Chlamydomonas reinhardtii: one gene and its partner. The protein of the gene in region 1 binds, or shares a complex with, the protein of each later gene. Links are inferred from orthologs where the notes say so. Each region holds a gene or a part of one and is shown on either strand. Other genes may lie near its edges.

Region 1 (4,432 bases):
TCCTTCACGGCAGCTGGCAGTGCTCCCAACGCAGCCCCAATGCTCCAAGACGCTCAACCCCATGCAGGCGAGTATGCCCCGCCACCAACACATCGCGCCGCTCCCCTGCCGCAAGCACCCAAAACGCTCCAACCCCGCCTCCCGCAGACAGTACCCCGTTCACCGGAACATGCGCCTGCCGCTGGGCGGCCCGCCGCGGCGTGTGTGTGGCAGCTTACCCAGGCCGCCTAGCTGCTGGTAGGCTCGGTGCACGTGGCGCGGCAGCAGCGGCCCGGTGTGTCCCTCCTGGGAGGCGCACACACGCGCTGCAGGAGGGGGGGGGGTTACATGCATTAAGTTTACGAAGTGAAGTCGTAGACAGGGACAGGAGGGGGGGGGCGGCGAGAGCGGGGCACGACGGTTGGGTTGGGTCGGGCGCAGTGCCCGGGTTACAAGGACACACGGTATGCTGTGCGCATGGCGTCTCAAGCGCGCGCGGCAGTAAAATGAACACGCAGGGCCCTGACAAGGCGGCCCGCGGCCCATGCACCCCCGCCCTTGGCAACCCCCGCTCTCGGCGCAATGCAACGGGTCTCGGCCTGCTTGGCGACCATGCAAGCCCTTGTGGCTCCGACGCCCTGTCCCCACGCCACGCCACGCCACGCCACGCCACGCCACGCCACGCCACGCCACGCCACGCCACGCCACGCCTCGCCAGCACCAAGCTGCCACAACCCGGCCCCCGCACCCCGCGCCGCGCGCCCTCACCCATCTCCACCAGCTCGCCCAGGAACAGCTTGCTGATGCCGCACATGGCGATGATGGCTCGCTCGTTGGGCACGGCGTTGCGCAGGATGGCCGTCATCAACTGCGTGAGCGTGGCGGGGGTCGGTTCGAGTGGGATAGGGGTTTGGTTCGAGTGTGATAGGGGTTTGGTTCGAGTGTGGTAGGGGTCAGGCATAGTGGGGCGGGGCGTCGTGTGTTGTGTTGTGTTGTGTGGTGTGGTGTTGTGTGGTGTGGTGTGGTGGGGTGTGGCGTGGCGTGGCGTGGTAGGTTCGAGAACGTGGGTTGCAAAGGTGTGCTGGAGCACTGTGCAGCAGTGCCCCAAAGGCTGTCGAGGTGCATGCGTGCACCGCACGCAGGGTGTGCCGCCGTGTGCGCCGCCCCCAACAGGCCCAGCGCTCCCACAGCTCCCGCACGCAGCCTCGGCCCCTACCTTCTTCATCTTGGGTTTGGGTATGGACGAGCGCATGAACGCCTCGAAGCGGCTCTTCTGCTGCTCCGTCAGGGAGTCAAACACCCTGCAGGACAGACGGGGGGGCAGTGGGTTGAGGCGCTGGCGAGGGCGCCCAACACAACGCATGAGACAAGCTCACAAGCTCACAAGCACGTGCACGCAGGCTGCACACCCTTCCCCTGTTGGTTGCGGTACAACCGGGAAGCACCCTGGCGCAGCAGCGCACGCACGCCGGTCAATCTCCCCGTCATAGCCTCGCGATCCTGTTCCCACCCGGTCCCCACCCCGTCCCCACCCGGCCCCCACCCTGCCCCCACCCGGTCCCCACCCGGGCCCCACCCGGCCCCCACCCTGCCCCCACCCGGGCCCCACTTTGGCCCCACCCCGGCCCCGTACCCCGGCCCCACAGCTCACTCCTTCTTGTAGGCTGCTGCCCGGTCAGGCGCCGCAGACGTCGGTGCTGCCGCCGCTGCCGCCTCCTCCGCCTGGCTTGGCCCGGCCGCTGCTGCGGGTTGCCCGCGGCCCCCCACGGCCCCCTGCCCGCCGTCCTTGAGAAGGCGGAACACCTGCAGAGGGCAGCGCGCACCACCAGTTAGCGACGATGCTAAACACTGCGAGACCGACAAAGCAGCGGCGGGGGTAGGCATGCATGGCCCGGGTTCCGCACTGTTGGCGGACGGAGCCAGGTGCCACTGGCCTTGACTACGGTGATAGCAGCAAGGCGGGGGCAGGGGGAGTGCTTGCGCCATCCCACAATAGCAGGGGGCCAGGATACATGCACAGGGTGCAGGGGATCAGGGGTCAGGGGGGCCAAGTGCTGACCTGCAGTGTGGAGTCGTCGTCGGGCTTGGTGGCGGGCTCGCCGCGTGCGGGCGCGTCCGTGTCGTCGTAGTCGTCCTCGTCCCTAGGGCGTGTGTGTGTGTGGGGAGTGTGTGTGTATGTGTGTGTGTGTACCCGTGTGTGTATGTGTGTGTGTGTGTGAGTGTGTGTGTGTGTGTGTGTGTGTGTGTGTGTGCGTGTGTGTATAAGTAAGTGTGTGTGTGTGAGTGAGTGAGTGAGTGAGTGTGTGTGTGTGTGTGTGTGTGTGTGTGTGTGTGTGTGTGTGTGTGTGAGTGAGTGAGTGAGTGTGTGTGTGTGTGTGTGTGTGTGTGTGTGTGTGTGTGTGTGTGTGTGTGTGTGTGTGTGTGTGTGTGTTTGCGGCGGGGCACCGCGGGCACGTGCGTTCTGGTCCGATAGTGGTGCCAGGGGGCTTGATGGAGGCACGTGAGCGACAGGTGGGCCGGCCGCACCGGGGCAACAGCAGCTGCAGGAATGGGCGTGGACACGCAAAGCAGCAACCTGGTGACCCCTAGAGGCCCCTGCCTGTGCCTCCCCACCCCTGTCCAGCTATCCCGTCTCACCCTGCCCAGGCTGCGCGCCCAGCCTGTGTAAACCCCCTGCACACATAACCTTCACCATCACAGCCACCCGTTGCCATGGCCTAAAGCCGGACTCACAAGCCTGGCCCTGCGCCCGCGGCCTCGCCGGCATCGCCAGCATCGCCCGCGCCCGCGCCATCGTCCGCGGTCGCTGGTGCCTCCTCAAACGCCTCCTCGAAGGCCGCTTCCAGTTCATCATCCAACTGCTCGTCTACGTCCATGTTGCTAGCTCAGCGGCTCGGAGAGCTTGAAGTTGTGTCAAGCAAACACAGTTTCTTGGGAATCAGAACTACGACTGGGCGCTTGTAGTTTTCTCTTTTTGCAGTTGAGGTCAAGCGCAAGTGATATTGTTCTGCGAGCCCGACAAACCGCTTTTTCTCAAATAATCAATTTCGGGTTTCCAACTTGAGCAGCGAAAGCGACGATGTATTGTAAGTTGAAACTTTACAAAAATTGTTTGTTTGGCACTGCAAAGGGAGGCCCATGGCCCATGTCGCCTGATTCTTCCCCATGCACGGACCCCCGGTGCCCACACGGCCACACGACGAGCCCAACAGCACACAGCGCCGCCGCGACATCGTGCTTGACCGGCAGTACCCCGCAGCGCTGCATTTGGTACACAGTGGCCCATTTGGCAATCCCGCTCACTTCGCCTCAACCCATTCTACCGTTATCACAACCTGCCGCCCTAGCTTCCCCAGACGTGAGCTGCCCATACGATACCTAGCTCCTTTGCTCACACAGTCACGCACGCCCCCTCCCCAGCCTCCCAACTACCTCCGACGCCATCGCCTGCTCACCACCCATCAAGCACTAAGAAAACTTTGCGCCCTCCAGCGCCGCCATGACCCAGCCCTCCATCATCTGCAGCGCCGCCGCCGGCTGGTCGTGCGGCACCATGTGACCGGCCCGATACACCACCACGTGCGTCAGCGGGCCGGCGGAGCGGCGCCAGCCAGCAGCCTGTGCGCAGCGACCAGCGGGTTGTAAAAGATTTGGATTGGAGCGTAGGGAAGCGGGTGGGGTTTGGAGGGAGTGGGCGGGGGAAGGGTACAGCGGGCACGGATGGGCACATGGGGTGGTGGTGGTGGGGAGGGGGGAGGGTCTGCCTCGCATCCGGATACTGTGTGGTGGCCCCGTGGATGTCCGAAGCGGAGACACGCGTCACCCACTCACCCACTTAACCACCCACCCACCCACCCACCCACCCACCCACCCAACCAACCCCCTCACCGGTTTCTGGCCGCGTGTGTCGGGGCTGATCCCGACCGCCGAGCGCGCCGCCGCACCGCCCGCAGCCGCGCCCTGCAGGTCTCGGCGCCCGTCGCCACCCTTGTCGTCATCGTGGTCGTCGTCGTCTGAGGCCAGGTACCAGAGGGAGCCCTGCGCCGTCTGCAGCTCCGCCTGCAGGGCAGGAAGGGTAAGCGGGAGGGGGGAGGGTGTAGATAGCAGCCCAAACTATAAACCAACCAAGGGGGAAAGGCAGGGTGTTGGTCGCTCGACACTTGGCCCCCCGGCTGTGACGCCGTGGTCGCCAACGGCGCGTCACTCCGCTGTTGGTTTAGCGCCGTCCCTTTCTCCAACATACGCCCGGTTAGCGCTTCCTCGACCACCCCACCGCCACCCTTGGCGTCTCATGTTCCTGACTGGGTTTGCTGTTGGTTTACCCTCCACCCCGCCAGGCTGCCACCAGTACCCATTAGCCATGACACCACCACCACTCAACCACCCCCACCACCATCAACCCACCACTAGGCCCCCTCCCCACACACACCTGGTGCTCCCACTCCAGCGCATC
Region 2 (4,172 bases), on another chromosome or scaffold:
CATCATATGATCCCCGGTGGGCTGGTGGCAAGCACCGGCAGGGCATACATACAGCGTTGCAACTAACTGAAAGTAGGAGGCAGGGATCCATTGTGCAGACTCGGATGGGTTGTCGATCGAAATTCTGTGTATAGATTTGTCTAACGCGCTACCCTTGCAGCGGAGTGGAGAGAGTTTGCAAGGGGCACGTTCACTTGTACGGCAAGGGCGGGGTAGTGGGGAGGGGTGGACAGGTGAGGTACCGTGACTGTCGTCGTCTGTTCCTTGGGCCCCAAGCAATAAGTGATTGCGCAGAATGAAGGCGCCTCGATGCAATTATCGATGACGCTTCAAGTAAACGAATGCGCAATGTGGGCGCCGTTCACGCCTGCGGGCTGCGGCTTTGATGGATGGACTGAAATTGTAAGGGGAAGCATGAGCCCACCCTCCTTCTCCTGCCGTGCGCAGCCCTTCCATCCCGCTATTTTGGAGTCATTTGAACAGCATGCAGCAGTGCAACGACACAGCTGTAACGCCAGCTAGCGGGTGCTTGCTTTTAATTGCTTCAACGGTACTGCATAATGTGCCAGCGCAAGGTGCACGAAATACCTAGACGCGTTGGTTGACAGCAGTTACGATAAGTGATTGGTCGTGTCAGTCAGCCTAAATAGTCAAAAGCCCATGCAATCGTGCCCTCTGCACTTTTACTCACCTCTGTTAGCTAGCAGGGGCCACATCATTATCAACATCATAGTAAGCTATATCTCCCCCCCTCACCCCGCGGAAGGCCATGCACTTCGCGAACAAGGGGCCAAATGCCTGACACCCAAGGCACGCAACCTCACCTGCACGCAGCATCATCTACGCCTCGTCTCTTCGTGCTGCCGAGTTCACCGCACTCATCCACAATGAAGCTGTCCATCCATGACGCTAGCTGCTTACCAATCCCTGATGCATGTGCCTTCAACCCGGACACTTCACACGTCCATACCGACGGACGCACACGCCCGTACCAATGGCAGCTAGCCCCTAGTGCGCCGCTCAGCCCCTTCCAGCACCGCGACGCGCGCACCACCGAGGCTGTCAGTCCATGCATGTGCCCCTCACATGGGCCGTGGCCACCAGCTACCGCCTCCCGGCCGCTGCCTGGTCCTTGTCCCGCGCATCCACATAGTAGGGCGGGTTGCGGATGTTTACACCGTACTGCGCCGGCGAGCAGGGGCACGCAGCAGGGGCATTGTCACACCGACGCCGGCCAGCAGGCGGTGCAGCGTTATGAAGCGTGCAGAGAAGCACCCCGCGCGCACAAGCCACCGTGCCGGGCACAACACTTGTGCCGTTGTGCGTGTGTATGCATCGGCTGGACCAGCGCGGCGCAGAGCCGCCGCCGCCGCAGCCCAACCATCCACTCATTACGCACCCCTCCCCGGCGCTCTACCCATGCGCACCACCCTGTAGCCCTCCGGCGCGCACCTCCTGCTGCAGCGCCGCCGCCAGGTCTTCAGTCCGCAGCACGCGGCGCTTGTCCTTGGGGTCCAGCCCCGCCTCCTTCATGGCCTTGGGACCCGCGCCCCGCTTCATCTTGTGGTACCTACCAGACACACACACACACACACAGAACATGCACGCGTAATGCTTTACTTGTGCTCCTTATCACACACAGGAACATGCATCAGATGCATGTGTGTGTGTGTGTGTGTGTGTGTGTGTGTATAGCCGTGTTGGGCGGAAGGCTCAGGCCCCAAAGCGCCATGCCGTGCGCTGCCGTGTGCGGTAACAGGGGCGTGCTCCGTGCAGCCGCCCGCATTTGCAAACCATTTGTTTACATACAACTAGCGATAGACTTGGGGGCGTGCCAGCAACCGCCGCAGGCTTCCTTCTCCGTGCCCTATGTACTCCGGGCCGCTCCACCCGGCGGCCCCGGACCTCACTGAGCGACTCCACACCCAGCACAAAGCGCATCCACATCATACCGTGACCCGCAAATCATGGCTGGTGCGGTGCCGAGCGGCATGTCCAGGCAAGGGACTCACTGCATGGCGTCATTGAGCACAGTGGCCAGGAAGCGCTGGGATGCAAGGCTCACGACCTGGGTCCTGTGAGCGAACGGCACGTGCATGGCGGTAACAGACGCGCTTCAAGGACTGGCAACTGGTGGCGAATGCCGGCGCTCATGACGAGGTGAGATCCGCTGGGAACCGTGCTGCAGGTGCCGCCACCCCTGCACACACTCACAAACGCATGTCCTCATTTGCCTCCCGGTCGTCCGCGCTCATGTTGTACAGGATTGGCCCCTGACCGCTCTTGCGCATGTAGTACTGCACCAGCTGCGGGGGAACCACCAGCGGCGCCTCGGCGAGCCCGTTCAACACTTGCTCTGTGGAGGCGGGCAACGCGCCCGGCACGGCTGGTGCAGTCGGCGCGTTGCCCGGGGGCGGCATGTTGGCTGGCTACGAGTAACTTAATGTACAATGTTGTGATAAATTTCAAGGTACCGGGGACAAGAAGTAGCAAAGCGCAAAGCGAGCGAGGTCGGGAGAAGTTCGCGCGAGGGCCTTGGCACGTTGAAGGTGGGCAGGCTACATGGATATTGCAAGGAACTGTAAAGGAGACGTAGTGGTGCAACACGAGAACAAGGGCGGTTGGCGCTTGTGCTGCAATTGCCAGGCGCGAAGAAGCTCAGATGGGGGCAGGCCCTGATGACTGGAGTGTTGTCACCGTCCGGAGAACCTGTTGTCTACTGTATTTCACATTCTGTACATACACACCGATACAAACGCTCTGACATCCAACTGATTGACTGCGCAAAATCAACGACAGCAACCTTCGCAGAGTCAAGCAATCGTCTGAAGCGCCTTCACTCGCGTTTTCTCACGCTGTGGCCGCTAACGAGGCTTTGAAATGACCACAGCTCATCCAGATATACCATATCTGGCTGCAGCGCGGATGTATTGCTAGCGCCATTTCTGCATTTGTGTTCAACCGCACCGACACGGTTGCGGACGACACGCGACATGGCAGGCATTTACTCTCCAGCGGCATTCACAAGCCCCGCAAAGCCCTCTCCCGAGCCAGAGGAGGATGCTTCAGGCAAGTGTGTGCGCTACACTCTCCTGCGAGGTCGCTTCCCAGTGCGGGCACACAATCCAACCCTTAGCTTTTGTTCATTTGTACAGGTATTAGGGCTGCATCGACCACGTCTTCGCCGCGGCTGTTGGAATGGCCGTCACCGGGAATGCACTCACCCGGGAGAGGAAGTGTCTGTTCGCTGCAAGTGAAGCCCAATGAGTATGATGTTGCTAGGTGAGGGGGCTCTGGGTTGCCTCTTGCTCATTTGACGCCCAGGCGTGGACTTGAGCATGTCACACACATGCTGGGCAGGCTTGGCCATTTCCACGGTCCCCTCCAACAGCATGCCCGCCCTGGCGAATGCGATCGACGCAGGTTCTTCACTGCGCGCGACATTGTGGATCTGATCAACCAGCTGCATAAGGCAGCTAAGATTTCAGGGGTGAGCACCGGATTGCTGGCATGTGCTTCGGGACGCGACTCGTGCTGACCGGTCTGGTCACACCCGCACGCAGGATGAAGCCACCGGCATGCAAGGAGACGAGCAAGTAAACCGCATCAAGGTAATATCGTAGCACACTCAACCTGCATTGCCTTTGGTGGCCTTCCCTGTGCCTGGCGCCGCCCACATGCACCACGAACTGACATCAATTGCTCTTGCGCCGTCTGCCCTTCAGGCCAAATGCAGCAAAGTGTGCGGCATGTCCAACCGCCTCATCGACCTGTACGTGGGCACCATCAAGGCCAAGGTGGCGCGTATCCTGCGCAAGCTGGGCCTGGGCCAATCCAAAGGCCAGGACCTGCTGTACCACCACCTGAACCTCCTGCAGGCGCTGGTGGATAAGGTGCGCGCTGCGGCAGGGGGGGGGCGGCAGTGGCGGCGGAGCATATCGATGCAAATCAGATTGTGCGGGATGGGTAGGCCAGGCGCACAGCCCTTGAGGGCGTGCTGCGCACCCTTGCCGCTGGCTGGCGGGGCGGGATGGCACGGCAAGGGCAGGGCAGAATGGATGATGGGTTCTTGTGTGGGCTAAAGCTTCTCGCCCACCTGTTGCTGGCTGCAGGCGTTCGCGGCGTTCAATGCGGTGCAGTACACGGAGGCGGTGCGCATCAAGCAGGCCAAG

The links.
Region 2: CHLRE_01g011350v5 (region 1) and CHLRE_16g657000v5 share a complex: the UniProt entries of both Arabidopsis thaliana proteins name them as parts of the TFIID complex. The link is inferred for Chlamydomonas reinhardtii from reciprocal best matches to the Arabidopsis thaliana genes TAF11 and TAFII15.

What each region holds. Positions count from the first base shown.
Region 1 is NC_057004.1:2,098,595-2,103,026, reverse strand, and holds the start of CHLRE_01g011350v5 (uncharacterized protein), read right to left. Parts: upstream 3,012-4,432; 5' UTR 2,856-3,011; coding exon 2,713-2,855; intron 2,121-2,712; coding exon 2,039-2,120; intron 1,783-2,038; coding exon 1,631-1,782; intron 1,281-1,630; coding exon 1,196-1,280; intron 848-1,195; coding exon 748-847; intron 306-747; coding exon 160-305; 3' UTR 1-159. Other genes in the region: CHLRE_01g011300v5 (uncharacterized protein), read right to left, coding at 3,448-3,597, 3,868-4,038, 4,409-4,432. UniProt on the Arabidopsis thaliana protein: TAFs are components of the transcription factor IID (TFIID) complex that is essential for mediating regulation of RNA polymerase transcription.
Region 2 is NC_057019.1:2,036,918-2,041,089, reverse strand, and holds CHLRE_16g657000v5 (uncharacterized protein), read right to left. Parts: upstream 2,617-4,172; 5' UTR 2,421-2,616; coding exon 2,215-2,420; intron 2,076-2,214; coding exon 2,013-2,075; intron 1,571-2,012; coding exon 1,453-1,570; intron 1,183-1,452; coding exon 1,105-1,182; 3' UTR 523-1,104; downstream 1-522. Other genes in the region: CHLRE_16g656950v5 (uncharacterized protein), read left to right, coding at 2,994-3,069, 3,156-3,282, 3,424-3,490, 3,564-3,611, 3,726-3,893, 4,113-4,172. UniProt on the Arabidopsis thaliana protein: TAFs are components of the transcription factor IID (TFIID) complex that is essential for mediating regulation of RNA polymerase transcription.